2 linked regions of the Drosophila melanogaster genome follow. The protein of the gene in region 1 purifies or fractionates together with the protein of each later gene. This does not show direct contact. Each region holds a gene or a part of one and is shown on either strand. Other genes may lie near its edges. The genes, in order: Vha36-1 and CG5126.

What was found.
Region 2: the proteins of Vha36-1 (region 1) and CG5126 purify together in Drosophila melanogaster (affinity purification with mass spectrometry, with the first as the bait; one large-scale study listed by BioGRID). This does not show direct contact.

Annotation. Positions count from the first base shown.
Region 1 is NT_033778.4:15,528,147-15,543,401, reverse strand, and holds Vha36-1 (vacuolar H[+] ATPase 36kD subunit 1), read right to left. Parts: upstream 1,968-15,255; 5' UTR 1,866-1,967; coding exon 1,125-1,865; 3' UTR 904-1,124; downstream 1-903. Other genes in the region: eIF2Bgamma (eukaryotic translation initiation factor 2B subunit gamma), read right to left, coding at 1-444, 498-648; CG8187 (uncharacterized protein), read left to right, coding at 2,130-2,702, 2,762-2,945, 2,999-3,372; CG30467 (uncharacterized protein), read right to left, coding at 3,465-3,824, 3,883-5,088; CG30471 (uncharacterized protein), read right to left, coding at 5,752-5,877, 5,934-6,480, 6,542-6,907, 6,974-7,811, 7,877-8,207; Khc-73 (kinesin heavy chain 73), read left to right, coding at 12,213-12,267. UniProt on the Drosophila melanogaster protein: Subunit of the V1 complex of vacuolar(H+)-ATPase (V-ATPase), a multisubunit enzyme composed of a peripheral complex (V1) that hydrolyzes ATP and a membrane integral complex (V0) that translocates protons.
Region 2 is NT_033779.5:1,174,710-1,190,519, reverse strand, and holds CG5126 (uncharacterized protein), read left to right. Parts: upstream 1-6,499; 5' UTR 6,500-6,600; coding exon 6,601-6,991; intron 6,992-7,048; coding exon 7,049-8,025; 3' UTR 8,026-8,223; downstream 8,224-15,810. Other genes in the region: Tgt (tRNA-guanine transglycosylase), read right to left, coding at 5,003-6,197, 6,266-6,354; CG4896 (uncharacterized protein), read right to left, coding at 8,234-8,350, 8,416-8,665, 8,727-9,525, 9,594-10,007, 10,071-10,307, 10,397-10,523, 10,583-10,660, 10,995-11,068 and 4 more; CG4887 (uncharacterized protein), read right to left, coding at 13,148-13,264, 13,329-13,578, 13,639-14,419, 14,477-14,941, 14,997-15,233, 15,347-15,473, 15,533-15,610.

The sequences.
Region 1 (15,255 bases):
ATACATCCAACCTTCCGCGGTTCTTGAGCAGATGTCGCTGGATGTTGAGTGTTTCCTCGCAGTCACTGGCGGCGGATACGAAAGCCAATCTCTGAGTGGCCGCATGGATGCCAATCAAATCCCTTTCCGGTTTGTGCTTGCTTTTGGGACCGGGCATAACAACGTCCGACTCAAATCCGCTGGGAAATAGGAGCATTGCAAGGGCGGCATCATGTTCCCGAAACTTGTTGATCAGCGGATATAGGCTGACATTGCTGACCAGGTCGCAGCTGACCACCAGAAAGTCCGACTTGATCTTATCGTATATGTAGCGCAGACTGTCGGCAGTTCCGAAATCCCCGTCACTAGGAATCGTGGCATAGTCCAGTCTCAGCTTTAAGGGAGTGTTTTCCAGAGCAGATTGGATCTCTAGTTTTTCTTGCTCCAGTACCACAACAATGACCTCTGAAATATTTTTCAATTAAATCCAGGTTTTTAATTCAGACTATCCGAATTACCTGTAAAGTTGTGTTGTTGCAGCAGATTTAAGGGATACCAAATCAGAGGATATGGACCCACCGGCAGCAGGCATTTGGGGGCATCCCCCAAGACCTCGGGTAGACGAGTGCCACGCCCAGCGGCAAAAACTACGGCCTGGAACTCGGTCATTGTTTCACAAAAATATAAATAATTTCGGCTAAAAAGCGTGCAAGCACAAAAAGAGCCACGCAAACAGCTGATCCAATGCAAGCGAAACACCTACGAGCGCTGTCCAACACTGCTTCCAATCAGACATATGTTTGCTGTCATGTGACTGTGCAATTGTTTTTGTTGCTTTTGCTATTGTATAAAACAAGTCAGATGACCCTTTTTGCAATGAAAATTCCCTTTTTCCACTTAATTATTACACAGAATGCACATCGTATGATACAACAAGACTTTAATGCATGATTTGCGCAGCTTACACTACACTACAAAAATGGAATACATACTTTTCTGCTTATTGGAATAGTCTACACACTTTTGCTACATAGGTACAATTAAGTTTGTGGCTTGCCCTTTGCGAATTACAATATGGAAACGGATACAGAACAGAAAATAGTTTAACAATAATATTGCTGGAATAAACACATCCAAGGTAATACTTAGAACAGCACGTCGTCATCGCCCTCATCCAGGATATTGGCCTGCTGGCGCACATCGATGCCCTGCTGCAGCAACTCCGCCTTCTTGGCGTCGGCCTTGATGCGTGCCTCGCGCTTCTTGTCCTGGATCTTCTTCAGTCGGTAGAACTCCTCACGCTCGAGCTCGTCCAGCTCCGAGATGATGTAGGCCAAAGTCCTATCGATTCGGGGGATGATCACATGCTCAATGGCGTTCACACGACGGTTGGTGATCTTGATCACCTCGTCCAGGGTGACGAATGAGGTCTGCAGCGAGGCCAGCTCCACGAGCAGTTTAACGGCGCTTTGGTAGTTCTTCTTCAGCTTGGCCAGCTGCTGACCACCACGGGCTAGACCGGCCAGTTCGTAGGTGTCGGATCCGTCCTGGTAGGACTCGAAAACGGGCAGAGTGACACCAGCCACGTTGTCCTTCTTGGTGCGGATCTTGATCTGGGCCTTGGTCACGTTTTGCAGCACCACTTGGTTGATGTCGCCAGACGTGAATTTGGCCTCCGCCAGCGAGAAGGCTGCCTCTTTCATAACATCACCCATCAGGGTCTTGGTCTCGATGATCTTGCCCAGAATCAAACGGAATCGCATCTGCAGGGCATCCGCCTTCTTCTTGAGCAGACCGTGACCTTTCTGGGCTCCAGCCAGACGGGCCTTCATCAACATCTGGGCACCACGGGACGGGAAAATCGGTAGCCTATCTTTTCCGGACATTTTGCTGTTTTTTTCGGATGGTAATTGGCTGGACTAAACAATTTTCAACTGCGTATCAAGAAAACTGCAACCGTCGCAGAACACTGAAAAACTCCAACTGGAAAATGACGGATGACAGTGTTGGCTACTGCCCGTAGCCAATCGATAACCAGTTGGTGCTGGGTAGTGCGCTTAGATACAGTACTGCAAAATACGCAGCCACAGCTGATTTTGCATTTAAAAGTAAACAAATCTAATAAATTCCATTTCTTTATTGGATTTATAATGCTTCTGCAACGCGTGTGGTTGACACATTTAAACAACCATCTACGCCAATACGCGAACAAGTCGCGAGCCCACATCAAACCAGCCATGGCCGTGAGCATGCGGATGGTCCATCAGGAGATCCTGCATTATGTAAACCCCTTTGCCAGGATCAACGTGAAGTCCGATGTTTTCCTGCGCATCCAGCCCGCGGATGTGCATCAGTATACCAGCGGGGATGTGTTTATCGCCCAACTGGTTGGCGGCCATGTCAAGAACTCGAATGTCTCTCTCGATGTGAAGGTAACCGATGAGGACAAGGTGGTCAATGTGGTGGTTAAACAACTGGCGGAGCAGCCCTCAAAGCTTGAATGCCATCTGCAAATACCTGTGCGTTCCGATGTCTCTGTGGACGCAAAAGGTAGTGTGCGAGTGGAAGGCATACAGAGTGAACTGCTGCAAGTCAAAGCAAAGGAAGGCATCCTTACCAAAAATATCAAGGCCACCCATATAAACTTGTACAGTGAAAATGGCAACATCAATTGCCAGGGCACATTGCTGGGCAAGATTACCCAAATAGAGTCACAAAATGGGGTGAGAAAAAATTTACTATCAATCTGATCTTATTATTAACCTTTATATTTCTTTTTTAGAACATTGCGATGGATAAGTTGCAAGGAGACAGCTTGAATTGTTCCACCAAAGCTGGCAGTATTGTAACCGATTGTTGTTATGTGGAAAAGTCAAAGTTTCAGACACAAACTGGGCGTCTGGAGCTCAAGAATGTCCACAAAAGCAGCGAAGTGCACGTCCATCAGTCGTCGGATCTCAATATGAGTATGCGAAACAACGAAGAATAACACCATCATGCTAAAAACTTTCAATTTCAGCTGGAGTACATGGCAATATTCAAATAACTACCAAAGGAGGAAATTTAAATGTCCAACTCTCTGAGCTAGTGGGGAGCAACAAAATCGACGCCGAGAACTTATTAGAAGAGGCTATCATACACATTTCCCAAGCCATAGAGCAGAATCTTCACATCGAGGTAACAGCCCCCGAAGTGAAATTGGAAAACGAACTGGAGCATGTAGCCCATGCTCTCAACGAGAGCAAGAACAAATTCGTGCTAAGCAATCCAAATACAAATCGACTGGAAGTAAGCAGCACAGGCGACAAGGGCGTGCGCCTGGGAAAACAGTCATGGAGCGATATGATGCGTAATAAGTTGAAGGCTACCGGCACCTTGGACGATTTACCTTAGGTAAAGACAGAGACTAACTAAGTTAAGAATATATTGTGCTGCAAGCTACAATCTCAGTCATTTTTGCTTTATCCATCATGGAGGCATGTTGTTTAGGCTTGGCCCGACTCCTTAGCCACTTTATCCTTTAAGCATTCAAGTGCCCTTGAGAAAATGGCTTCTTCCTTTCCGGCTTTGAGTGCAGACACAAACAGTTGCACCTTTTCATCGCCAATCTCTTGGAGATCCGAGTTTTCCGCTTTTATCACCATACATGCCAACAGGCGCAGCAACTTCAAGGCGTTCTCCACATACTGCTCCTTTGGAGCGTCATCCTCCTCCTCTTCGTCCTCTTCGAACTCATTGGCGTCGGGATCACTTCCCCCCGTGTAGTTGTCAATGTGCTGTTTAAGTCTATACCACAATTCCAAAAGATTTAAGAAGGCCTCCTTGTGATAGAAGTACTTCAGGCGCTGCAAAAATAAATATTTAAATAGAACGTCGAATATTAAGTATCTTTTCCAAACTTACACTCCAAATGTGCGCCAGATCCTCGAGATACTCCTCCTGGCGTTCGCCTAATGGAATGAGTTGCAGAGGCTGCTGCAAAAACTGCAGTATTCGCGCTAGACAACTGACTATACTGGGTGCATACACATCCATGGAGGCCTGCGCCTCTGGCAGTTGGACCAGAATGGTGCATATATTGAGGTAGGTTTGTATGATCTCCACATCACAGGTTATTTTTGGTCCGCACGAGTCGTAACCGACGTCGGCATCTTCATCACTGTCGTGGGCCGCTGGCACTTCTGCATCTTCGTTGTCCTCGCCAGCTTCCTCGTCGGTCAATTTTGTCTGATCATCGCGCATGAGTCGCAAAAACGCGCTATTGACCCCCTCGCAGAGTTCTGGCACTAGAAAGACCTCCGCAAAAGGCTTTAGATTCAACGTGGAGTTTGCGTTTTCCTCCTCCACCAAGGCGCAACTGGCCAGCACAGCATTTGTGGCCTTCAGTGCAGCTACTAGCAGTTCATCGCTAACGGACAGTTGCAATATCCTGCCCAGGTTCTGCGCGGAGTTCTCAAAGGCAGCAAAGCAGATGTACCAGTTCACAGCGAACTTCTCCTTGCCGCTAAGCACATGGGCCATGATGTACTGAAAGAGTCGCATCAGCTGTATCAACATGGCGGTGTCCATGCAGTATGTCATCTTGAACAGGGTTTCCAACGTGTAGCGGTCACAGGCCAATATCTCTGCGCACTCCACCTGGGCGCACATATTGCCCAGCAGTCCGATAAGAATCTCGTAGAGCCGCACATCTTCACAGCCCGCCACCAGGGTGTACATGATCGGATCAATGGCTCCGTTCTCCAGCAGCAGTGTGACCACTTCGGGGGACACCGACATGTCCCACACTTTGCACAGGTCATCCTCCAGCTGCTGATCCAGTGTTGAATGCCGCAGTAATTCTCCCACCCTCATCACCGTTTTCAGGATGAATCGACTGCTGTACATGGTGTTGCCGACTGCATCGCCGCGCATACGCTCCAGCAGCTCCGCCTCCTCGGCGTCTTCCTGGGCGGGTGGGGGCGTGGTCGAGGCGCTACTGGCGCTGGCAGAGGCGGAGGCGTATGCGTCGCTTTCCTTGTGATTCGAGTTTTCCGCGGATGGCACATCGTTTTGCTTGGCGGCCACCGCAAGACCACTCGCCGATGGCTCCGCTTCTTCCTTGGGCATTTCGATCTGGATCCGGGTCTGGGCAAACTGTTTAACGGGTTCGTTTGGCAGAATGCAGAATGGCAGTGGTACTAATCAATATATTTTGGACAAGATCTTTTTTTTTAGACGCTGTCAGTGGGTCCGTTGGTTCTTTCATAAAAAATACCTTAAGCTTTGGAAAAGTCAGTTCGGAAAAGCTCGGTATCTAAATCACTTTTACATAAGCAGGTCACACTTTCTCGCACTTCGGTGGGTTGATCGTTTAAATATATTGCTCAAATGTGTGATACTTCTGAACTGGGAAAGTTAGTCAGCTGGTTAACAATATCAGTTTACAACTTAAAACAACCAAAACTACCTTTAACTTCTTTGAAAGCAACCAAAAGTGTGGATTTCATTAGTTAGTGAAGGTGCAAACCTAATCATCACCACACGTTGTGGAATCCAATGGAATCCACAAGGAAATTTAAAACATTGGCGCCTACACTTATTAAATATCGTATTATTAGTATGTTTGTTACTAAATTCAAAAATTCCAACAGCAACGTTGCTATAATATTATTCTTTTAATATTATATCTAAATTCGAAAATTCCAATAAAAGATAACATTATTTTATAACCATAACTTTCTATTAATAAATGACTTAGATGTAATGCTAACAATGAAAGGTAATCACAGTTTATGAGGTTTTTGGTTTTCCCTTGAGCAGCAAACTAGACAGATTGCTGTAGGGCAGCTCAAAAGCCAGCGAAAAGGCGATGGAGGCCAGATAAACGATCATCGTAAACCCGCAGCAGATGACGCTCTAAAGAAACAACTCAATATTATTAAAAAGCAAAATCAAATGAGAATGCAACTTACCAGCAGAAAGGGATCAACTGCAGAGCTCGTACTGGTCAGACTGTAAACGAGGGCAATCACCAGGGGATTTAATAGATATATGGCGTAGGACAGGCGGTTCAAATGCTGAAAGAACTTGGCCTCCAGCAGGCGTGACCACCAAACGCCAGTACCCGATGCACTGCCCACGATCATCCAGCAAATGGTGAGGGAAAACAGAGCGCGACCCAGAACAAATAGCGATATGGTGATAAGGTAACCCAGATCCCGCTTCACCGTAGAGTAGATGCAGCCCACGAACACCTTGAGACTGAAATGCCACCACCGGCATATCCGGCGTTCACTCAGCTCACTCACTTGGAATCGCTGCTCCTGGTAATACCATGCGGCTATGGCTCCCACGATATAGGGCAAAACTCTTACAAAGGGACTCGTGTATATCTGAGTGCCAGTCGCATAGGTGGAGTCGAAGGAGAACTCGAACTTCTTGGCGATTCCAATGCCGTAGGACCACGTTATCGTGCCCATTAGTCCAGTGAGTGTAATTGCCTTGGCTAGCTTTTCATGCCTGGATAGAAATATAATGAAAATAATAATATATTTCCTTGCGATTTTAAATCCAAACTCACTTGGCGTAAATAAAGAGCACGATGTTTGCCAGCAGGAAGAACTGCATGTCGCAGGCGAGGCTCCAACTCCAATTGGCGCACATTTCGCGGTGATCGAAGAGGTTCTGGATGAAGAGTAGATTCCTCCACCAGTGCTGTGGGCACAACTCGTCGAATCTCTCGTTGATGTGGAAAACGGAAACGTCTCCGATGTAGGCGAAGGCCAAGTCCACGCTGCCCATCACCACCAAGTAGAGAGGACCCAATCTCAGGTAGCGATGGAACAGCAGCTTGCCAAAGAGCTTCACATTGCCCCACAGGCCATTGCGACGCACTGCGTCCAGCTGCTGCTCATTTCTCAGGAAGTTGTACGTTTGCAAAAAGCCACTGGACAATTTTTTGTTTTCAAATGGATCAGCAAAATACATTAGATAATCGAATGATTATATTTACCTGATGGTAAAGAAGACGTCCACGAGAAGTGGAGCTGTGGAGACGTACTGGAAGAAGACCTGTTCCGCATAGGATATCAGTACCGTTTTGTTGTGCACAGTGAAGTACATGTACCACACGACATGGAAGATCAGAATCCAGATGGCACACACCGATCGCAGACCATTCATAATGGGAATCTCGCCTGGCTGGTTCTCCCTCATGGCGGAGATCTTCCGCCAGTTATTGGCCACATCGAAACAGGACACGAAACTCTGAAAAGGCTGCCACTTCAAGAGGGTATCCAGTGCCTGCCACAACTCTGATTCCACCGGAGCCAGACCCAGATCCGGCTCATCGGCCCTCTTGGCCACCCGCACTTGCTGGGCGCAGAGCATTAGGGCACCGGTTACCAGGATGGCGGCCACCACCAAACGGAAGGTCAGCCTCTGGTAGAAGCGTTCGCTCAGCCGGAGGTCCTTCATGTAGAGCACCTCCGGCTTCATATCGAACATATCATCCGCGGCGAACAAATCTCCGGCCACATAATACCTGGCCAGCTGCTTCACCTCCTCGGAGCTGCAGGAGCTGGGCAGGCACAATCCAATGTGGAGCACCTGTTCGGACATCACCTTAATCTCCACCTGCCACGGTGAGCGGTGGCGCATGTATATCACGCGGTAGTCCATCCCAAAGGGAGCACTTTGCGTGAGGATGCTGTAGTGCATTACTCGCTCGTAGTTCCGCGACAAGGTGATGCCTACGGGCCGACGGACACCTTCACATCCATCCCGACTGCCCAGCCAGTAGTTCTGGCCGAACACAAAGCCGGATGGCTTGGTTCCCGACGCATCTAAAACTAAAGATATACGGAAAATTATATTGTATATATTTATATATATACTAAAAGTTCTGGTCACTCACCCTTCATGGCCCATGGTTGCCTGCTGAGGATTCCCCGCTGCACTTGCTTCAAGTGGGCGTAGCAGCTGGGAGTCACATTGCTCTCGTTGGCCACTTTGGTAAGCCCGAAGATGACGGAGCTCCTGGTGAGATGGGGTTCATGCGGTGATTCGATGGCAGCTGCTTCTTTTCCCCGAATATCCGTTGAGATAATTTCTGGGGACAACTCCAGGCTGCCGTTGAGAAATCCGTACTCGTAGCGGTGCCGTCGCAAAGTGGACTCATTCACGGCTGCATTCACCACTAAAATCCAGATGCTGATGATCAAGACCAATCTCCAGTGCTTTTCCATGCCGAGGAACCGCTAACGAAGCGGCAGCTGTGAAAAGTAAGAGGTGTTTAATTGTTGACCCGTCAATACGAACGCACTCGAGTTACGAAAAGCAAACCGAGTTGGACCTTAAGTTACGTCTACTTCCTACCGGAAAAAATTTACGAGACGCGTAACGAAGTAATGATGTTTTTCAAATTAGTTAACCCTTTAAGATCCCAATCAATTTATTTCCTAATTTCTTATCCTCCTTAAAATCAGCACCTTTTAAGAAACCAACTTTCACTGTTTGTTTAAATTGATCACAGAGGTAACATCGAATGTATCTTTATTGAAATAGCTGTCCAAATAATGCGTGATTTATTCCAGATTCAATGCTTTAATGGGCTAAAGAAACGTATTTCGTTCAGAAACATTTACAATATATATAGGTTTTCTTATATCTAGAACTTTCTTTAGAGAGCTATTTAATGTGAGATCTTACATTTTTTCACTAATTAATATTCTTTACATTAAAAGGGTTAAAAAGGAAAATCGCAGAACATGGAAGTGGTGTGGTGGCCAAGTGGAGGACTTTAGAGCTCAATTCAAATATCAATTAGCCGCATCCGAACAAGTAAGTGCGTCTCAATGTCAGCTGCAATGTATCGGATTAGTTCGATTCACGAGAAATTCGTGAGATACTGTATCTACAATGAACAGTCACCCGAAGGTTTACGGATGCCCGAGGCAAAAACTGTCGAACTTGTCACTTGCGCGCTGATTCATGGAAACTCAATTGCCAACTATTGAAGCCACCAAGTTCAGTGTTATTACCACTAAATGTCTGCAAAGGTCAACGACTATGGCCTGGTACATATTGCTACGATCATTTCATCTGGTGTCTCCAGAATTTACTTGCATACATTAAGCTTGACCAGGCGTATGGCATCTTATTGTCGTTTGCCCAAAGTACTCATTCCAAATAAATTCGTTGTTTGCATTGGCTGATTGAGGTAGAAATTCGAGAATAAGTCCCCCGGGCGATTTGCCAATTTGGCAGCAGGCGTGGGCCAAAAATTATCGAAAATATAAATATAATATGGCTAATGTTTTCTTTGCTCTCGAAGACGTCGTCGAGATTCGCAGTTGTAAGTCCCCAGATAGCCAGTTTGCATTTTATGGCAGCTAATGGCTATTCGATGAAACCATTTCAAGGGTAAATCGTAAATCTGCGCTTGGCTTCGCATCCACTATTATATTATTTTCCGATTTTTGCCTATGCAAATGAACCTTCACCTTAACTTTGCGGATCCCGATCGCCCAGTTTGGTTTCTTTTTCCCTCGTTTTTTCTTTGGACAAACGATGGGTTTTGTAACTAATATTCGCGAACTGGCTCTGGTTTTGCCATGTTTGCTGCACGCTGGTTTTTAATGGAATGGCTGTAGGAAAAATGGTGATTTATATTTTGACACTGCCTGCTTATGATCGCGTTTGGGGGTCAAGGATCGATTTCAATCCGGGATCTGCAACTAATCGAAGTGACCTACTTTTCAAACAATAATCCAATCAATATAGAACTGTCCTTGGCACTCGCTCTTATTCCAAAAAATATTAGTTTACCAGTATTTTTGTCTTGTTTATTTACTTTTGTAAGATTCGCAATCGAAACTAATTTTTAGGATGTGTGTGTTTTTTTTTTTAGCGCGACACTCGCAGCTTCGCGTCTTTCGCAGATACTGTGACCCTTTGCGGCGATTCCAAACCTTTATAAACTCCGTGAGCGCCCAAAACGCACGTGAACAGGTATCAAGCGGGTATTGAGTTAAAAAAATTAATAAAAAAACAGCAACAAAAAATGAGATACGAATGAAAACAAACCGAGCGATGAAAGCGAAACTGCTTTTCGCTTTGTTTATTTTTGGGAATCGGAACGGCCTGCATTTGCGATCGGCTCGTTATTTTTTTTTGGTTCACACGTATACGTCACTAGGCCGGGCTCAAATTGCCGGTCTTGAGTTCTCGTTTTTCACGCCGATCGATCGCGTTCATTGACTCCGCTATGATGGGGAGGCGTTCTTCCGAGTTGAAAGTCGCTCCCTTAATGAGGCAGTGGATCCTTGCATATGCGAAACTAGAAACCTACAGGAACTACATTTTTCTTTTTCATTTTCCGTTGGTAGCTTTTTTATTCGTCTATATATCAATATCAATAAAAAGTAAAACGCAACTGATCAAGTTGCCCACTTATGCGACCCAACTTCAGTTTTTTTGGAACAAAATAGGTTTCACTGTACTGAAAATCAGCATTGCAAAACAGGAAGTGCCACTTAAAATGCAATTGCAAATGGAATGGTTCCACTAGGGAACGGTTATTTTCCAACAGGGTCAAAATAAATTACAGGAATATACAACGGAAGAAGCCGATATATTTCCACATTAAATTAATAAATGACAAGTCAAACAACAAATTAAATCTAATATGACGTTCTATAAGTAAAACTTATGATTATTTCATAAAAAAAGTATACATTGGTTTGAAAAAAAATGGTCCGGGGAATCTGGGACTCAAAGAATTCGTTCTTAAAAGATAATTCAAATGATTTTAAGATCGTGGTCAGATTATTTACTTTAGTTTGTAGTACGCTAAGTAAACGAGTTTTATTTAATTTTAAAATTATTAAATATTTTTTAACATTCTAGCTGGACAATACTTCTACCTTTGTATATGTTACCTTTATATAATATTTGCAATAACATCATTATATATATATTCACTTTTTTAATAGATCCAAAGTTTGAAAATAACGATATTTTAAAAAGCCCTTTTTTCGGTCTGTGAATGGTCACACTAAAATTCAATTTTAGAACTTAGCGAGTTCACCCACCCAAACTAGAATTAAGCACATCGTTTTTGGTATTTTTAGAAAAGAAAACTGTGGTATTTCTTGGGCACCCTGCACACGGTCACACTCATCGATAGTCGCAAGAGCAATCGATGATTCTGCATCACTAGTAAAAATTGCTGAGAAAAACGAAAACGCGAAAAATGAAAACGCAATACAGAAAATCAAAATTGAAGTGAAACCAAGTGCGAAAACGAAGGAGCTAAAGGTGCGGTCAAACGATAAGCATATCCCAAATGAAAACAATGCGAGTGTGCAGCCAAAAGAGGCCCCCATTTGTGTTGCTCCCCTCGAAAGAAAAAGAGCCATAAAAATCGATTCTTCAAAGAAGTCGCACACTGCGTTCGAGACTTTTTTGCGCGGGCGGTGGAGCCTGGCGTTGCTTTTCGCCAACTTTTCGTGGAGCTCGTAAAGTTTTTGTATTTCGCGTGGCTTTTGAGGGTTAAAAAGAGCTACCTGTGCATAGTGCATACCTGCTGATCTGTGTGTGTGTGGGGGTGTAGTTGTGTGTGAAAGTGCGAAAAGAATATCAAGTCTGTATGTACATATTCGCATTTATTTGGACAGCCCTGAAAAATCGGACAGGACACTAGAATCACATTCTTAATTAGCTAATTTCCAGTAAATATTTGAGTGTGTCTCGCGTAAATAACGGAATGCCAGCACATGACAATAAAACGTATCCGTGTGCGTGCAAGTGTGTGTGTGTGTAGTAACAACAAAGCAAAAAAGCAAAAGCAAAACAAAGTGAATGACAAACGGCGAGAACGAAATGGAAAACCACCCCCCGCACCACCCACTTACTGTTAGACATGTGTGCGCGTGTGTGCGTGGCGCTAATTGAACTCACACAATATATATAATTTATTTTTTTTGGCGCTCCACAAAAGCCACTTACTTGTGAGTCAGCTTACGACTTCCACCTGCCTTCCAGATTGCGTGCTCATAACTCCCGCGAGGACGACAACTACCGCTAACAACTAACGGTCATAAAAGTCAAAAGCAACGAAGCCCGAGGAGAAGGAGCTAGCCACGCCCCCCGCTGCAGCCCCCGCTTAGGGAGCCCCGCCCATCCGCATATCCACTCCGCTTCATCTAAATAGAGATTCAAAAACAACACCCGCTGCATCCACATCCGCGATGGCTAGTGATAAGATCAAAGTCGCCGTAAGGGTGCGACCCTTCAATCGCCGAGGTAAGTGCCGATTTACATGCCCCACATAATCCCCTGTACTGGGAGAAAAATTCGCCAACTTATGGAGTTTCAAAATATAAATGTTTCACAATCGACATGAGCACAATAATAAGCAACAGATAGACATAATTTCTGATTTTTCATTGTACAAAAATGTTACATTATCGTAAATTAAAAAACAAAATAATTTTGGAGTAAATCTGAAAAGCTACAGACTTAAAGCTTAAATATTCGCCCTTTAATTTTGTGTTTTAATGCGCTCATATTTATCTATTGTTATGTTAAAACTTTCATCTTTTTTTTAGTATAATAAAGTAGTTTTACGGTTGGTCGTGAGGGTGGTTAAGCAATTTCTATAAAATTATAACATCAGATGCCAGGCACTCCATTTATTTTGTAAGAGTTGATAATATAGTTCATAAGGAGTTGCCTTGAGTGGCCCGCACTTTCCATTTTCCCCACTTTTTCACATTGTTTCCCAACAATGGCCAACAAGCACTGCAGTTGCCTGCAATCAATAATGCAAACAACCAACCAGGCAAGCGACTGTTTTTTTAGGCTAACGAAATTTACATGGGCTTCCTCGCTTCCTTTGAAATACGGTTTCGTTTTTCAACTGCTGCGCCAGCGGATTTTTCGCAGGGCTTAACTGCAGAACTACAGCGTCTACCTACGGGATGGTAATGGGATGGGATGGATTGGGATGGTTTTGCAAGGTCCCCGGTCTGCTCGTCTGACAAACGATTTGCGTTTCCAGCTAATTTCGCGTTACCCACTGCCAGCCACGAAGTGTGTTGCAAGTGCAAAATAACTAAAAATGAAAAACAAGCAACAGCGCCGTCAGCGTTTCCAATGTCAACACTGATCATTCATTTGGCTCATCCATGACTCACACTCGCGGCGGCGTCGGCGGAAGCGAAGGATGGCAGCGGAAAAGGGGCTCTACGACCCAACCATATGCAAAAGATACCTATGTAAACGCATATAAGCGTGCTGCATGCTTGTATTTATGTGCCTGTGCGTGGGGCAAGGTCCACTTGGATCCCCTGCTGTATTGATTGAATGGCAAACTTTGATTGCACATCTTATTTATATTTACATAAGGCATTGAATCAGTTACATTTATTGCATTTTGGTGCACCCTCTGTTTATAAATTGGCATAACGTAAAGTTTGATTTCATACACATATAAACAAACGGCAGGCTTAGAAAGTATTCCATTTATATGGGTCACGATCCTAATTGATTGAATGACAAACCTACACCGATGACTCCATGTTTGTTTATATTTACATGATTGTATAATCCATCAAAACACATTTCTGTTGTTATTTTGTAGCTTTTCTTTTCATACTCAGTTTGTCATAACTCGATTAGATGGACTCTAACCTATTAGGTCTTTATCTATAGCGAAGCTAATGGATGAATTAGGATAATTGCAATTGCATTCTGGTTTTAGAGGTAGTCGTTGTGGAGCATAGTGCAATAATTGTGCACTTGCAAGTATTTGCAAATGAAACACAAACTAGTCTTAGTAGCTATGGGACCTTAAAGTGATGAATTCTGCGATCACAGATGCTCATTTAATTACAAATAACTTTGTAATTTTGACAAATTTATTACCACGCTAGTGCCAGCTACTTGTGAAACTAATTAATTGTATCCGTAACACTTGTATATACTTGTTTATTGGCAAACAAACAACTACTTCTGGTTATCCATCATAATGTGTCACTTGTAATATTTTCCGGCCAAGTTAGGCGTACGCATGGACTTGGTAACCGCGTGTATTTTTAGAAGTTTGACCGTGTATCGATGTTGTACTTTGTCATGTTTTTGGCTTGTTTGATCCGTTGCTGTTTTGGTGTCTGAAGAGAGTAGTAGTCGTAGTCACCGGAAAGTCTGCGATAAGCAACGCAGAATCGTTATCACTGGGCTGATAAAGGCTTGTATTTTGCGATACCCAGCGTGTTACACACTTGCAGTGACTGGCATTAGTCAACAGTGTATTTGGGCCATGTCCGTAACTGGTGACCTCTCCGCGTTGAGCTGGCCAGCAGAGCGTAAAATGAAAACAGAAAAGGCAATTTCAAACGCAAAGACACGGCAAAGGCAGCTGAAAAGTCAGGCGGCGAAACAAGCTCGAAATGAAGTCACAGCTCTTTACTTCTTACCAAAAAGCTTAACCTGTTTTCACTATGCCAGTGTATGCGGAGTATATGTATGTTAATTTCAGCGCTGGACAATAGCGAAGTGAAAACCGTTTGAGGTTATACGAACTCGCCATCAAATCAACTGACCAGAACTACAAATGAGACCATCAAATAATTTATGGCACGCCTTCGTCACATTCGAGACTTTGAACAAGACATGTAGCCCGTAGCCACCAGCCGGTAGGGTCAGCTCGTTGCTCCTGAGTCCTTTGCGGCTTTCATTTCCATGTCATGTCACGTTCTCGGCTTTGTAACATAAACCGGAACGGAAGTTCCAAAGGCCAGGCAGCACACCAGGATACGGCTGTACATAGATATATATATGTATATACCTATACTTTTAGCCCAACCATTCCATCCCGACTTGTGTGTGTGTGTGTGGGCCCAAATGTGTCTGTCCGTCTGGGTTTGGCTTTGACGTCGCTGTTTTTCCCCTGCTCGTCATGTTTTGTGTGCTGTATAGATATAGATATGGATATATAGTATGCCTTTGCCATTTCGCCGTTCTCTGCCATTTGGATCCGTTCCGTTTTGTTCGCAGTGAATGAAGTATGCGAAGGACACGAGGAGGCATCGGAACTGAAATATTTCCACGATTTATTAGCTGGCACTCTTTTTACCAACCAGCCAGCCAGGATGAATGGAATAATCAACCCGATAAGGTCACCTCGCTTGCTCGTATTAAATGCTGCATTTAAGGAGTGCACACCGTAGATAAAAACATTATCTATATTATTATTAAATCTATATATCGTTTATTTTAAATCGTTAATTG
Region 2 (15,810 bases), on another chromosome or scaffold:
GATCGCGTCCCGAAAATTCATTAGCATTCAAGATGTCAACACTCGGCCGGCAATCCGTACTCGAAACGCTCTCCAGCCTTGGACTTAACTGATTTCATCTTGGAATATCATTTCGAGATACATAGCGTTGACAATTTTGACGCCAAATGTGCGCCTTGAGTTGAGATTTTCATGGGGAGGGGAACGAAGCACGCAAGATTTGCTATTGGCGATATTGACAGCGGGCGATTGATGCGATCAGCGCCATTCCAAACCAATCCATTCCATTCCCGTCCAGAAATTAGTCAGTCATTGCAGTCATTGTGCACAAAATTGCCGGCGGATCGCGGATCGTGAGATACATTCCGGATCGCTTCCAAATGTGTGCCATATTGAGCGAGCAGGGGACAAGGTCGCAGATATTTTTGATATTTTTTTCTGAATTTTCCCCCGACACACTGCCAACATTTTCGTTTATTGAAAGAAAGTTTTTCTGTCTTTTTAGCAAATAAATAAAATGAGATATGCGAGAGATGTTACGCAAGGCGCGTTTATGCTATGCGTTTTATATGTATGTTTTGCATACTCCGATAATTGAATTATGTATTTTTTAACGGCGGAGATTTTCGCACGCGTTTCAATAATTCTCTTTATGATTCTTTATTGAATTATAGCCATTGTTTCGTGCAAAATTGCGGGCTTAAGGTGCAAAATAAATTCATGCCGATTGGAAATTACTTCGGCCATAAAAAGCCGCTTTTTATGGCAGTTACAACATGTTTCGGGTGGGCGGAGCCACCCACTTCCGCATGTATTATTCACCAGACACTGGCGGCAGCTCATTTATTGATTGCCGAACAACATTTGTTTAACAATTTATTGGACGCTGCGTTATTAGTGAATTGCATTTGCAACGTTTCATTGTCATTTCGTTGCATGCCGCACCCGGTTTATTGCATTTTGCAAATCTGCATTTGCATTTCTTTCCACTTCTGCCAGCATTATAAATTGTCGTAGGTTATGAGAGGCCAACTGGGGCTGGAGGAAATGAAAACTGTTTGTGTCCCCGGATTGCACTAATTGAATTGAACTTGATTTATTAGTGCGCGACTCGGCAACTTTAATTCCCAATCCCGTTCGGTGCCTCAACTAATGCCCACATGCCAAAATTGAGAAATGGAAATGGAAATTGGAATTAAAAGAATCCGAATTTAATAATGAACGAATTTCAAATTGGTGGAGTGATTTATGTGTGGCCATTCGGATCTCTTATTTATTGCCTGGGGCCTGAGGTTTCTCAGATAAAATCACTCACTAATGCCACAGTCAACATTTGTCTCCTCGGATAAACAAACCCGATCGCCACTTTAAACATTCGAACCAGAGCTAATTGATTGATAAATAGGCAAAAGTTTACTTGAACTATATACACCAGTTTTTTGGATTAGAAGAGCTCTTTCGTTACATCTCTTACTTAAGCAAAACTTCATTACCAATTTGTATCTGATAGATATATATATGTTTGTATATTTCAAAAAAGTACTTGCCAGCTTTTTTTTTCATAATAATTTGTAACTTTCCGTTCATTTATCTTTTGCTACATTCCACAAATCTGAGCATTCAAGGTTGTCAAAAATCTTGATCCCATGAATCTCATTCAAGTCCAGCCTTTTACTCTCGCTCTCAAAGATACGAATGCGAATCATGTTTTTTCCCTTTATTTGTATTTTTCAAAGTCACCAACAAAAGCCATTCATTGTCAACTGATGGCGATTGGCTGAATGGCAATGTTTTTGGCCTAAAACCATTCGAAACCAACCAGAAACCGATCAAACACCGTGAAGTTTGTTCACCCACACTCAGAATAAAAATGGTTGCGACAAGAATCGAACATTCGGCCGTGACCGAAGGCAAATCGTTTAGGCCAAGCAGCATTAGATGTCCAAAAATCCGCCCAAGGTCTAAGGTAACTACCAATTTCTGGGGTGGGTGTTTCCAAGTCGCAAATCCGCTGCAAAAATAGGTCCAATGACTAAGCGAGTTTACCTTTGGACGCGGAGCAAGTCGCCCACACAATCCGCAGCCAAACATTTTCGATTTTGGAGAAATGCTACTCGTCGTTTGGACAAGTGAATCAGCACTCAGCCATTTCCATGGGATTGGAGGTGATTCTGTTTTTCCGGCGCGGTTTATCTTGCAGATGAACCTCTGTTTTCGCCGGAATTCGTGCTAATTTGCAAAGAGCATTGATTTCTGGGCGGCAAAACATGCAGGCAAGCATTCCGTTTCCGTTTATTTATGCAAACAACCATTTTGCATAGAATAACTATTAGCAAAGATTTTTAAATTCAAATTGCTGCCTCACCAAAAGATTGAAAAACTTGTTTCAGCTGTTTGGAATATGCGTTCCTAGTGCAAAAATGGTTGTTGATTTGTTGGGCACTCTGATTAAAATAAGTTGCAATGATGTTTACTCAGGCTTTTAGTAGAATTATTTGCAGAGTATTCGGCTTATGGAACATTGAATTTATTTAATTTACAATTTAATACACTTTTTTGGATTTCAGTTAGCTTGCCAAGTGAGTGAATCTTCCCAAGTGAGTGATGAGCTGTATTTTAATTTCCGCTCTTATAAACAGGGTTCATTAATTCATATAATTAAGACGAGCTTTTTTTAGCTGACGACTGAGAGATTGAAATTAATCAATTTCCACAAACAAAGCCGCGAAAGTTTATTTCCTTGTGTCTTTCGCCATAATTACTTGCTTAATTGGCGCCAGCTCTCACTCTCGTTTTTTCTTTTCGAAAAACGACGAACTTTGCATGTGTTCTGCGGCTCGAAGACCGTCAAAACAATTCTGCGACCACGCCCCCGCCAGTCTTCCGCCCACGCAGCAGCTGTTCGAAGAGTGGCAGCGCGAAGAAATGCGAAAAGTACTCTCCTCCGCATATCTTTTCTCTTCCACTCGCGAATGTGTCATAATTTATAAATACTGGGCAAAAACAAAAAGCCAGCGGTTCGAACAGAGAGATTCTGGTGTGATTATGATTAGCGGCAATCATCAGAGTTTTCCTTTTATTTTTACACTCTTCGCTGGTAATTTGTTGCCACTTGGTATTGGCCACTTGCCTTGGTATTTGTATTTGGCTGGGACTTTAAGTTTGGAGGCCAGCAGTCTTTTTCGCCAAGTGCCTTCAATCATAATCGGCTCCATTGTGTGTTTACTTTTTATTTATGATTTTGTGGCCAGCGAATTTGAGTGTTTGAAAAATGAGGCAATAGTTAGTGGACATCAAAAAAAGCAGAAATACTCATTTGAGTAGTTTATTTATGGGATTATTTTGGAAGGTTCGTTTGGCTGAACTCTATACACACTAAGTACTACATTTTGTGTTTTGAAAGTGATTCCCTCTGATCTCTCCACATACATATATTCCCCGATTTGTGGTCCACCCTAGGGGCACCTTTAACTAAACCGAATTTCAAAAACACAAATCACTTCACACATTGTGAGCACACTGTAGAATTTAGAATGGAAGCCCCATATGAATATTCCAAAGAATCGGCATGAAGATTTCGGAAAATAATCAGGCAAACTGAACTCAGCAGCAGCGAAATTGGTGAGAACAAAAAAAAAACATATACACAAAAATAACTAAAAGTGCTAAAAATAAAACTTATTTAAAGAAATGAAACCATGAAATTCAAAAACACACAGGCCAAAGCCAAAAACGATGGCAAATACAAAAATATAAATAATATCGCTTTTGGACTTGGCAGGTATACTTGGCGTATACTTTATATAAGGGTTTTTTCGGTTCTTTCCGCTCCCCGCGAATGCTCCAATCGGAATCCTGGCCACAAGCAAAGGCGACAGCGCCATAAAAAGCACGATTGTTTGTCGACTTCGAAATGTTTTTTCATTTTATTTTATTCGCTTTTACCACATTTGGCAAACGAAACGAGACAAAATCACACACACACACACACACTAGCCACTCCAGCACTCACACAAACGCACACACACGCACAGCAAGTCCGTGATTAATTGTCAGTGGAAAAGCAATAAATTCGGGTGGCTCCTTACAATCGATTGGCGGCTGATCGGGCGTATGCTTGATATGGACTCGCAATCCTTTCGACGGCTTTCAGAATGTATTATTAGCGCGGGCTTCTCGCTGCCAATTTACCGCCAGATGCGTGCAGCACTACCGTTAGTCAGTGGTTCGAATCCGCGACAGAAACAGCGATAAAGTGGACGCGACAACGCTTGGGGACTCACTGAACGATCCACCGAACCAGCAGCAGCAGCAGCAGCACCACCACCACCACCACCACCGCCACCAGCACCAGCACCACTTCACTGCCCCGATCTCGCGCTCCCGCTCTCAGAGATCTCGAGTCGCGGGTATCTCTTGTCCCCCAGAGAGTTCAGTCCAAAACAGATATGCGCCAAGCACTGAAGAGAGCTCCGAGCCAAGTGGAGAGGTTTCCCAATCATCTCCATTCATACCGCACACCTACTCTAAGAACGGACGAAAAGAGGCCGTGGCAAAGGCGAAAATCAAGTAGAATATCACAAATTGGTCGGTCGTTCCACGCGAGATCCACGATCGCCACCGATTTGCACTATGCGTCATACTATGGCTACATGGAGCTTTTTCCCATAGGTAACAACGAGTCGAGAGCTTTACGCAAGAGCGGAACAAACGTGGGCAGAGCAGAGATGAAAACCAGTATTCTGCTACCCTGCTATGGGGTATGATAGACTAACCTACTAACCTTAACTTTAAGCAAAAAAATAAAATAAGCAAAATAAATTGTATCCACACAGTATGATTGAATTTTATGATGTAATTTATTTTTCCTTTTTTATTCTATGTCTAATTAAGTATTTATTCTTATGAAAATAACTTACATGACATTTGACATGTAAAATACATGAACGTATGTGTCAATTAAGAAATGCCTCTTAGTCGGAACTTTGGGTTATCAAAACACAAAGGTTGCTATGTGATGATGTTAGCTGGAGGCCACCTGCTCCTCCGCCACGTCCTCTGTTTCCCGTCTCTTTTCGGTCTTTGGCTTCTGGTCCTGCTCATCAATCCTCTCCGGATCCGCAGGCAGCTGGATGTTTACGGCAGACAGAGCTTCTCGTATCCAAGCCGGAACAGGTTCCGCCTTGAAGTGTCTCGCCATAAAGTCCGCGACGAACTGGGGGAACTCATCGCGCTGAATGGCCTCCCGCATGCTCCTCATCAGCCTGAGCTGGTAGGCCACGTTGTGTATGCTCAACAGGGAGCTGGAGACACTCTCGTTGGTGGCGATGTGGTGCAGGTACGAGCGTGTGTAACGCCTACACGTGCTGCAGTCGCAGTCCTTGTCAATGGGCTCCATGTCCAGTTTGTACTTGGGCTGCTTCAGGTTCAGCTGCCCACTGTCCACCAGGGCGCAACCAAATCGAGCTGTCCGGGTGGGGAAGACACAGTCGAACATATCGATGCCCAGGGCCACGCAGACCACCAGATCCGCCGCAAAACCCACGCCCATCAGGTAGCGCGGCTTGTCCTTGGGCAGATAGCCAGTGCACACGTCCACCATACGCCAGAAGTCGTGCTTGCTCTCGCCACCACTTAGCCCGCCCACGGCGAAGCCTCGAACCTGGCGCTCCATGAGAGCGGAAACGCAACGCTGACGCAGCGGCACATCCAATCCTCCCTGGACGATGGGGAACAGCGACTGGTCATCGTCGCGGGCATGGGCCTCTATGCAGCGATCCACCCAGCGAATAGTCCGCTCCATGGCCTCCTCCACCCGGGGGCCAGTTGTTGTGGTCTTGACCACATCATCCAGCTGCATCATAATATCCCCACCAATGGCGTTCTGGATTTCGATGGAGTGCTCCGGCGTCAGCATGCACTGGCTGTTGTCAAAGGGCGACCGGAAGTTCACACCGTGCTCATCGATCTCGGCCAGCTGCAGCAGGGAAACCATCTGAAAGCCACCGGAATCTGTTAGAATGGCCCTGGGCCAGCCCATAAACTTGTGCAGACCACCGGCTTTCTTCAGTGTCTCGATTCCGGGCCTCAGGCCCAGGTGATAGGTGTTCCCCAGCAGAATCTGGCAGTTCAGCTCGATGAGCTGGTCCGGCACGATGCCCTTCAAGGTTCCCTGAGTGCCCACGGGCATAAAGACCGGGGTGTTTACCTCGCTGTGCCTGTTTAGGAGAGTTGGTAATGCGGCTTAGTCACAGTTTTCAAGGCCTATCTTATTGCAGACGCTCACCTTAGGGTCATCAGTCCCGCCCGGGCTTTGGAGACGGAGCACTCGGCCACGACCTTGTAGGTCAGCGGAGGAATGTGGCTGGGACCCATTGAGTTAGCAAAGTCCAGAAAATTCCCCGTGAAATGTCTTATGTTTACGCGCAATACGCCGGCGGTGCACGTTTCAATCGCGATTCTGTGTGACCACTTCGCTGAAACCGGGAATATACCAAAATCCTGCGCGTGGCTATCGATACCACTTTGATTGGTTGCCCGGACAAATATACACCTACTTGCGTATATTGTCAGTTAAGATTACCCATTCAGATAGCAATTGATTCCTGCGTGGAGGTCACGATGTCGACGCAACAGCAGCAGTTAGACTATATAGAGCGCCACCTGGTGTACGACATCTTCAAGAACTTTGGTCCGAGTGCTTCGCTGGAATCGCACAGCGTTGAGTGCTCCAATGGACTGGACGGCTTCATGTCCGCCTTGTACACCGTTACGCTGGACGTGGTCATCGCCGAGCGCAAGCGGACGGAGGTCGTCCTGGTCAAATTCATGAAGGGAACGGAAGAGTTCCGGGAGAGCAGCAACTCGTACATCCAGTTTTCCAACGAGATCTTCGCCTACGCCGAGATCCTGCCCGCCTATGAGAATGTGCTTCGGACGAGTCACCTGGAAAGCGAAGTGGTAAAGAACTGGGTTCCCTGTTGCTACTTCGCCAGGTTTGGCCACGTTGAAGGTGCGCATCCCACAAAGACTTTATCCATGACTACATCGAATGTTTACTTTTCTGCAGGTTTAGGGAATGGTAGGGAATCGGTGCTGGCCCTAAAGCATCTCAAGGGCGATGGCTACCAATTGGGGCCAAGGCTAACCCTTCGACGGGATCAGCTGGAGGCCATGGTAGGACTAGTGGGTCCGTTCCATGCTCTGGGCTACGCCACGAAAATCCTCCAGCCGAACGTTCATGCTCGTTTGCGCGCCGGAGTGGTGGACATGCCCTTCGTGTCCAGCTCAGGAAAGGGCATCTTTGATGTCCTCTATCGCGTGGCTTTCGATCGGTTCTACGAGTTCTACGACCGGCAAAAGGAGCAGCTCCTCCAGGGGGCAGACCCCGGATTCGGGGCCGCCATCGAGCGACTGCGGGAGAAGTACTTCAAGCAGCCAACTCTCCTGCTGGAGAGAATCCGCACCAGCTCCTTTGCCGAAGATCAACCGGACAGCCACTTTGCCACCTTTCTGCACGGCGACTACAACAGGAACAACGTGCTGTTCCACTACGGCGCTGAAGATAAGGTGGACGCTATCAAAGCCATCGATTTCCAGGAGCTGCGCTTCAGCACTACGGCCATTGACCTGAGCTTCTTTATGTACATGAACACGCCATCCGAAGGAAGGAAGGAGATCTACGCCGACTTGTTGCGCAAGTACCATCGAAGCATGATCGAAATGTTGGAACTGGTTCTGCGCCGAAACCGGAACGAGTTGACCGACGATCGGGTGGACCAGTTGCTACAGGAATACAGCTTCGAACGCTTCAATGCCCACTTCAAACGATATGCCTTCTACGGACCAATGGTATGCATGCACTTCCTTCCCTGGCTGCTCGGCACCGAGAAGGATTGCGCCGAGTTGTCCCGCCTCTTCGAGACGGATATGCACGGCCCCGCCTTCCACCAGTTGTCCTTGGACATCGCTGGCGATGAGGCGAACCAGGAGATCTTCAAGACCGTTCGTCACGCCTATGAGCATGGCTACATGGACGAGATTTAGATTCCCTTGCACAATTCCATACTTAAAGCATTTACAATTTAAATTTAAACCTAATTTGAGACTGTATTTACGAACTATTTACAATTTGAACTTCGCAACTAATGCTAAATGAACGCGACAAGGTGGAGGAAGTGTAATCGAGGTAAACAACAATGCTTAAATGCCCCTATATTCAAGCGGAATAAAATCATACACTTTAAGAAGAGTCTCAGGCGTTCTCATAACGCTGCTTCATCATCTTTTTGATGTAGGATTTGTAGTCGTTCCCAGGCGCCATATGGCCAGTGTTGTTGCCCAGCCCCACGTTGTTAGAACGACCATCAGCCTGTGGATACACATTGACATTGAATTATCCATATTTTGCCATTCGTCGCCCTCGTCGACTCCTACCTCTATGATCTCGGTGCGTCCCTGGTTCTTTTTGCCCAGTCCCTGGCCCTCCGACCAGCCCATCTTCTGCATCAGGCGGCTGCCCACGTTGGTCGAACTGATGGGCATGGCTGCAGTGGCGCCAAAAGAATCCTTCTGGCGCGACTGCAAAGTCTTTATCTCTTGCTCGAAACGCTCCCGGCTCCTATTTGGTGGAGGAGGATCGCTCTCACCGTACTTCAGCCTGCGTTCCTTGGCACGATCACGATAGCTAAGTACGGGTAAGTAAATTAGTGAGTTTATCTCCATTCTAGCAGCATATTCCCACTTACGATAGACCCTCATCCGTGCCAGCCTCAACTGCGGGATTCCGTTTAAGCTTGTCCAGATTCTCCTTGTGTAGATTCGACATTTTCAAATGCTTCTGCAAGATGTCCAGCGATTGGAAGGCACGCATGCAGAGCAGGCAAGTAAGTTTTTGGAAGTCCACGTAGTCAGATTCATCGCTAATGGCTCGTTTAGTCCCAACGCTAGCTTCAAGTGCTTTCTGATTGGCACTATTATCATCTTCCGAGTCAGAAGGTCCTCCATAAGCACCAACCAATTTGCTTATCGCTGGAGGTCCTGCCTCCGGTACATAGTCGTTGAGCTTGCCAAGCTCCTTCTTCTCAAGGATTGAGAATCCCACATCAGCATATGCCCCTTGGGAAGCACGGGAGGTGGTGGCCGCCTCAGTATCCGACAGGATAGGCTGCGGCGTTGCCACTGCTGTGTAGTCCTTTTTTTGGTTTAGCTGCTTGGCCCACTTCTCCATGTCCTTGACGATCTTCTTGGCCACCTTCACCTTGTCGGGCTTCCCCCCAGCTTCCTCCTTTTCTTTTTCCTTCTCCTTTGCCTTTTTGGCCTCCTCCTCCTTTTTCTCGGCATCGGCTAATACTTCCTTGAGGGCTGCCTGAGTGGAAGCGGGTGTGGCCAGCACATAGGTGCTCCGCTTCTGATCCCAGTACAAATACGCGCCCGTCTCGTTGTTGTAGTAGTACTGCGAGTGGGCATCATAGTAGAGTCCTGTAACGTGGTCGTAGTAGTAGCCGGAGGTCTCGTCGTACTGGTACTTGGACACATCGGGAGTATCTAACCATTGAGCATGAAATATTCGACATTACAGGAGCGCATAGATAGAATAGTGTGCGCTCACTTACCGTATTTCTTGCCATCATTCCCCTTGGGAGCACTTTCACCCCTGGCAAGGAAGGCGACCTTCGCCTCTGTCACCGAAACCGTGGTCTCCATCTGGCTGACCTTCCGTTGCTTGCGCTGGATGGCCGAGAGAGCAACGGCAGCGCCGGAGTTGGCCTCCGTCACTTGACGATCTCTGCAGTTCTTGCTTATTTCAGTCGTGTAATAATCCGTATAGTACTGGACGTAGTTAGCATGCTCCAACGGATTCGAGGCATACACGGATGCACTGTACTCCGCAAGACGAGGCACATCCGCCAAAGTGTAGGCCGCCGTAATGGCCGACGGAGACATCGCTGTTTCACCTGCTCTAAAAAAGTTGCCTTCGGCTGGCATCATTTGACGGTTTTCGGAGTCAATGCAGTAGGTGACGATAACTGAAGGGCATGGATTAAAGTTTTGTTTTTTAATTATGAAATAATTAAGAAGTAATAATTTACCTGTTTTGTCGTCCAGAGTGAGTGGCGGATCCAACGCCGTCAGCCCGTTGAACACGTTCATAGAATCAATGAGTGTGTCAAAATTGAGGTAGCAAATGCCCCGAGATGCATTGGTTAGGGCGTCGCGACTGACCAGCACCTTGCTGACTGTTTTGGCCAGTTCGGGCAGGCGCTGCTGAAGGGCAGTTAGCACGCCCTCCTCGTTTGTCAGCGCGTCCAAGCCGCGAAGCATGATCTCTGCATGGGGAAAGCGTGGCAGGTTAGTGGGGTATTTAGCTGATTAGCTAGGAAACGGCATTGAAAGATATTGCTCATGGTGGATATACTTTTTGTGAGGATTTGGCTGATCTCGTCGACGCCCTCGCCGGCTCCGTAAAGAGCATTCTCGCTCTCCGCCCGCGACGCATTGCACATGTAGCATTGGAAGCGGCGCTTAAAGTTGCTGGCACCACACTGAAGGATGGCGAAAAAAGCTAATTATTGTTGCCAATCTGTATCTTAACGGAGCATACCTTAATGCAAGTCCAGTCTGAGATGCGAGTGTGACTATACTGCATGGTGACACGATGATCGCCCAGTTGGAGGACTCCCTGAACGGAAAAATAGAAGAGGTAAAATTGGAATTAGTAACTGAAACTGCTGATCAGGCAAATCGTTCACAGACTACACAGTCACCAAGATTGCATCTGTGTTTTTCGACATCACGCAGATGCTGGTTGCTTCCTTTACGTAAGATTCGATTCCGCCTTTGAGTTCAGTTCCCTGATCTAAGACAGAAAAATGGAAGGGACAGGCAGCCCACCAGCAGAATTGAACTCAAGGCACACATTTTTCAACAGTTGATGCCAAGCTATCGGATCTTGCCGTCATTTCTATTTTGGCGGATACGAGAAGATTCAAGATTCTTGTGGTTTTTAGGGATACCTGGGTTAACTCCATCCAACGAGTCGCCTCCTCAACGGTTTTAAACTCGACAAATGCAAAACAGCGTGAGGCACCTAAATTTTAGATAGAAGTAGATACGAAAATGTTTGGTCAAAAAATGTTGGTTGTATCATTAGCATTGTGTCATTTTTGGGGATTGTGTTTTTGTTTCGGTTTGTAGTTTTCTATATGTTTTTGCTGATGTCGAAGCCAAGTATAATTGAAATTGCTATAAGTCCTACATCGAACATGTTGCTGGGCACGCAATACTCACGCTTTCTCTACAATTTCACTTTAAATCGAATGTAACACACGGAAATGTAACCCACCTGTTTGTTGCTTCCTCATCACGCGAATGGATGTGGGCTCCAGGTCGACCTTGATCAGCTCGCCCATGATCTGTGGAGGATTACTTGGTTAATTTTACATTCGTTCTGCTTATCGCTTAAACATTACGTCTGCTTCCGTGACGTGCTTCTTCAGACCGAAGAGGATTATGTTGTTCAAGGGCTCAACGCTGCTGCCACTGTTGTAGGCACCTCTCTGCCTGAATTCGCTGGCCATGTCGCTGTCCTCGTCCGAGGAACACCGTCTATCTCGATCGCGCTCCTTCTCGCGATCTCTGTAACTGCTGCTGGAGTTACTATTTCCATTATTATTGAACTGCCGCTGGTCATTGCTGCGGCTGAAAGGAAAGCGATTCTTTAAGGTCATACAATGAGCACTTTGTCGAATAAATTTTCGTTCGGTTCGTTTGAAACCATCGTTTGCATACTATCCACTGTAATTAAAGGCATCCAGCATGAATATTTCATAAGATGATTTGTATGCATTTATGCGAACAAAGGGAAGTGTACATTACTGAATGGGTTGATTTCTAATTATTTTGACTTTTATTACAAGTGATTAGCAAATGAAAGGTCTTTTAAACTAGTGAAAGAGGAGTCCTCCTTCTTATGGAAGCCTTGTGAATGGAAACATAGAACTTAGCTTAATCTTAATCTCAGTGATAACACTGAGCACGATATGGGTAATATGCAATATGTATCATTTCTTACCTGCTGCGCTCCGATCCCCGATCGAAGTCATCATGGTTGCGCTCTCTCGAAACGCGATCGTAGTTTTTCCAGCGGTGATCGCGGTCCTTATCCATATCCTGGCCACTCTTGTCGTAGTTGCTATCGTGATCCCTGCGACCCTGGCTATCAGCATGCCGACGATCGTATTTGTCCTCGCCGTGGCGCTGGTCAAGGTTCTGTCTCGAGTTGTAGTTTCCCTGATCCTCGTAATCCTCGTTGATCAGGTCGCGGTACAGATCGCGATCCGGACTGCGGTCGTTTCTATAGTGTGAGGACCGCTCCCGACTGCGCGAACGGGAGTTGCGACGTCTGTACTCATTGCGGTCCCGACTTCGTTCCCTGAAATAATCGCAATTGGTAGTAATCCACTAAGAGGCTCCAGGTGGACAAAGGACTACCTACCTGGATCGGGATCGGGAGCGACTGTAGCGTCTGTAGCCCGATTCGCTGCCGTTTCCGTTGCCGCCCGAGAAGCTGTGACCATATCGAGAATCCATATCTAATGCGAATCGATTGTAATTAAATGCAGTGTTTGTGATTTGGCCTTTTGCCATTAGATGAACCGTCTATGTGCGCACATCTTACTTGGTTACCACGACTGTAACAGGATTGGAAGCTGGTTAAACTTGTTCCCGAACTGGAAGTCTCTTTGCATTCAGGCAGAAACAATCAGTTATCCGGCCAAAAAAAAAAACCCGAATAGAAAAATTCTCGGTCTTCTTTTTTGCCGTTCACCCGAAGTATCTGACTGCCAGTTATCGATAACTGACCGATAGCTCCAGGGCTACCAAGTGCCAGCTAACAGTTGTTTCCCAACACCAAGCAAATTTAAACTTTACACCGTTACATTTTATTTTGTACATTCGAAAAAGGATTTAAATTCGCTTAATCAGAAACTATTAACTAAACGGTCACACTTGCTCGTGGACTTAAAAAAACGCCAATCTGTTAGGAAAACAATGCTCAAGAAGCTTCATATATAATATGGAAATAATTTTTGCTTCGGTTGAAAAGCTGAATTAAACGGCGACTTTAGTTGAAATGAAACATGTGAAACGGCTAAAAACCAATTTCTCAAGCATTCTCGTAGCGCTGCTTCATCATCTTCTTTATATAGGATTTGTAGTCGTTGCCCGGTATCATCTGTCCCGATTTGTTGCCCAAGCCCACGTAATTGGAGCGTCCGTCCGCCTGAGGGAACCCAAAATGCTTAATTTTCTTAATTCATTTTATAGCTTGCCGTCAGCTCAGTTACCTCTATGATCTGGGTGCGTCCCTGGTTCTTCCTGCCCAGTCCCTGTCCCTCCGACCAACCCATCTTTTGGAGCAGTCGACTGCCCACGTTGCTCGAACTGATGGGCATGGCTGGAGTAGCGCTAGTAGACTGCTTTTGCCGCGACTGCAGTGTCTTGATCTCCTGCTCGAATCGCTCCCTGCTCCTATTTGGTGGGGGAGGATCGCTCTCGCCGTACTTCAGCCTGCGCTCCTTGGCACGATCACGATAGCTGGGAAAGAATATGAATTCAATGATAATATACTCCACCACACATCGCGATTTCACTTACGCTAGTGCCTCTTCGATGCTACTGCTAGTGTTTTGATTGAGCTTGGCCAGGTTCTCCTTGTGCAGAGTGGACATCTTCAAGTGCTTCTGGAGTATTTCCAACGATTGGAAGGCACGCTTGCAGAGCAGGCATGTCAGTTTATGGAAGTCCACGTAATCGGACTCTTCAGCACCTCCTCCGCCGCTTACAACCGCTGAACTCTGTGTGTTTTGCGAACTCGCAGCATTGTCCTCTTCAGAGTCCGATGTTCCGCCATAGGCATTGACAAGCTTGTTCATTGGACCCACAGTCGGGTTTGGCGCATAGTCGTTTAACTTGCCCCTCTCCTTCTTCTCGAGAATGGAGAATCCCACATCAGCATATCCCCCTTGATTGCCACGCGAAGTGGTGGCTACCTCGTTCGCCAATATTGGTTGTGGCGTGGCCACAGCTGTGTAGTCCTTTTTCTGGTTTAGCTGCTTGGCCCACTTCTCCATGTCCTTGACGATCTTCTTCGCCACCTTAACCTTGTCGTGCTTGTTTCCACCCTCCTTCTCCTTCGCCTTTTTGGACTCCTCCTCCCCCTTTTGCTCGGCGTCGGCCAGGACTTCCTGCAGAGCTGCCTGAGTGGAGGCGGGCGTGGCCAGCACATAGGTGCTCCTGCGCTGATCCCAGTAAAGATACGCGCCCGTCTCGTTGTTATAGTAGTACTGCGAGTGGGCATTGTAGTAGAGACCCGTGGTACTGTCGTAATAGTAGCCGGATGTCTCATCATACTGGTACTGCGTCACATCGGGAGTGGCTGCAACATAATGAAACATAATAAAATGCTAGCATACTCAAGTGAGTGGCGACATACGGTATATCTTTCCATCGTTGCCCTTGGGCGCACTGGCCACCTGAGCAGCCAATGTGGCCTTCACTTGCGCCGCTGCCTGTGCGGCAGCTGTGGCCGCCGCTGTGATCGTGGTCTCGATACTGCTCATCTTCTTCTGCTTGCGCTGGATGGCCGAGAGGGCAACCGCTGCTCCGGAATTGGCTTCCGTCAAATGGGAATCCCTGTTATTTTTGTTTATATCTGCCGTGTAGTACTCCGTATAGTACTGGACATAATAAGCGTGCTCTGCGGGATTCGAAGCGTACAGGGAGGCACTATATTCAGCGAGTCGTGGCACATCGGCCAGAGTATAGTTTCCACCCAATCCTGAGGGCGAAACTGCTGAAATGTTCCCGCTATTGACAGTTGAATCTTTAACTGCCAATTCTTTAGGGTTCTTGGGCAATGCTTGCTGCTCCTCCAAGTCGATGCAATAGGTAATGGCCACTGGATGAAATATTGGTTATTATTTAAGTTATAAAAAGCACCTAAGGCCACATACCAACTCTGTCGTCCAAGGTAAGTGGAGGATCCAGCGCTGTCAAGGCATTGTGCACATTCATCGAGTCGACAAGAGTGTCGAAGTGAAGGTAACAAATTCCACGCGATGCCTGCGTCAAGGAATCCCGACTAATTAGCACCTTGCTCACGGTCTTGCTCAGATCCTTTAGGTGAAGTTGGAGGGCAGTGAGCACAGCCTCTTCGTTGGTCAGGGCGTCCAGGTTGCGTAGCATGATCTCTGCGTGGATTGGGGAAGTGGTAGAGAAATCGTGGCGGTCAGTGGTCTGTTGGACTTCATTGCGATCGAAGCTACAAAACGAGATGGCAAGAGAGTCTATGTGGTTTGTATACTTTTGGTGAGGATGGTGCTGACTTCGTCCACGCCCTCGCTACCGGAGGAGAAGGTGGTTTCGCTGTCTTCCCGGGATGTTTTGCACACAAAGCAATAGAATCTAAACTTGAAGTTGCAGACGCCACACTGGAACAAGCGAAACACATTACTCGCCATTAAGAATATGATCATCTCAGTGCACCTACCTTGTTGCAGTTCCAGTCCTGAATTCGCTTGTGGCTGTACCGCATGCTCACCCGCTCGTCGTTTAACTTCAGAACGCCCTGGTGCGCCAGACATGGAAATAGGAGAAGGAAAGGTTGCGGATTAGTAACCGATCGCTAGGATGCCTTCATTCACACTCTACACAGTCACCGGATTGCATCTGTGTTTCGTAACGCGAAGTTTTAGCCGCTGGCAATCTCCTCGAGTGGCTTTCTTGGGCAATTCTAATGAAGCAATACTATACTCGTGCTTAGTTTCC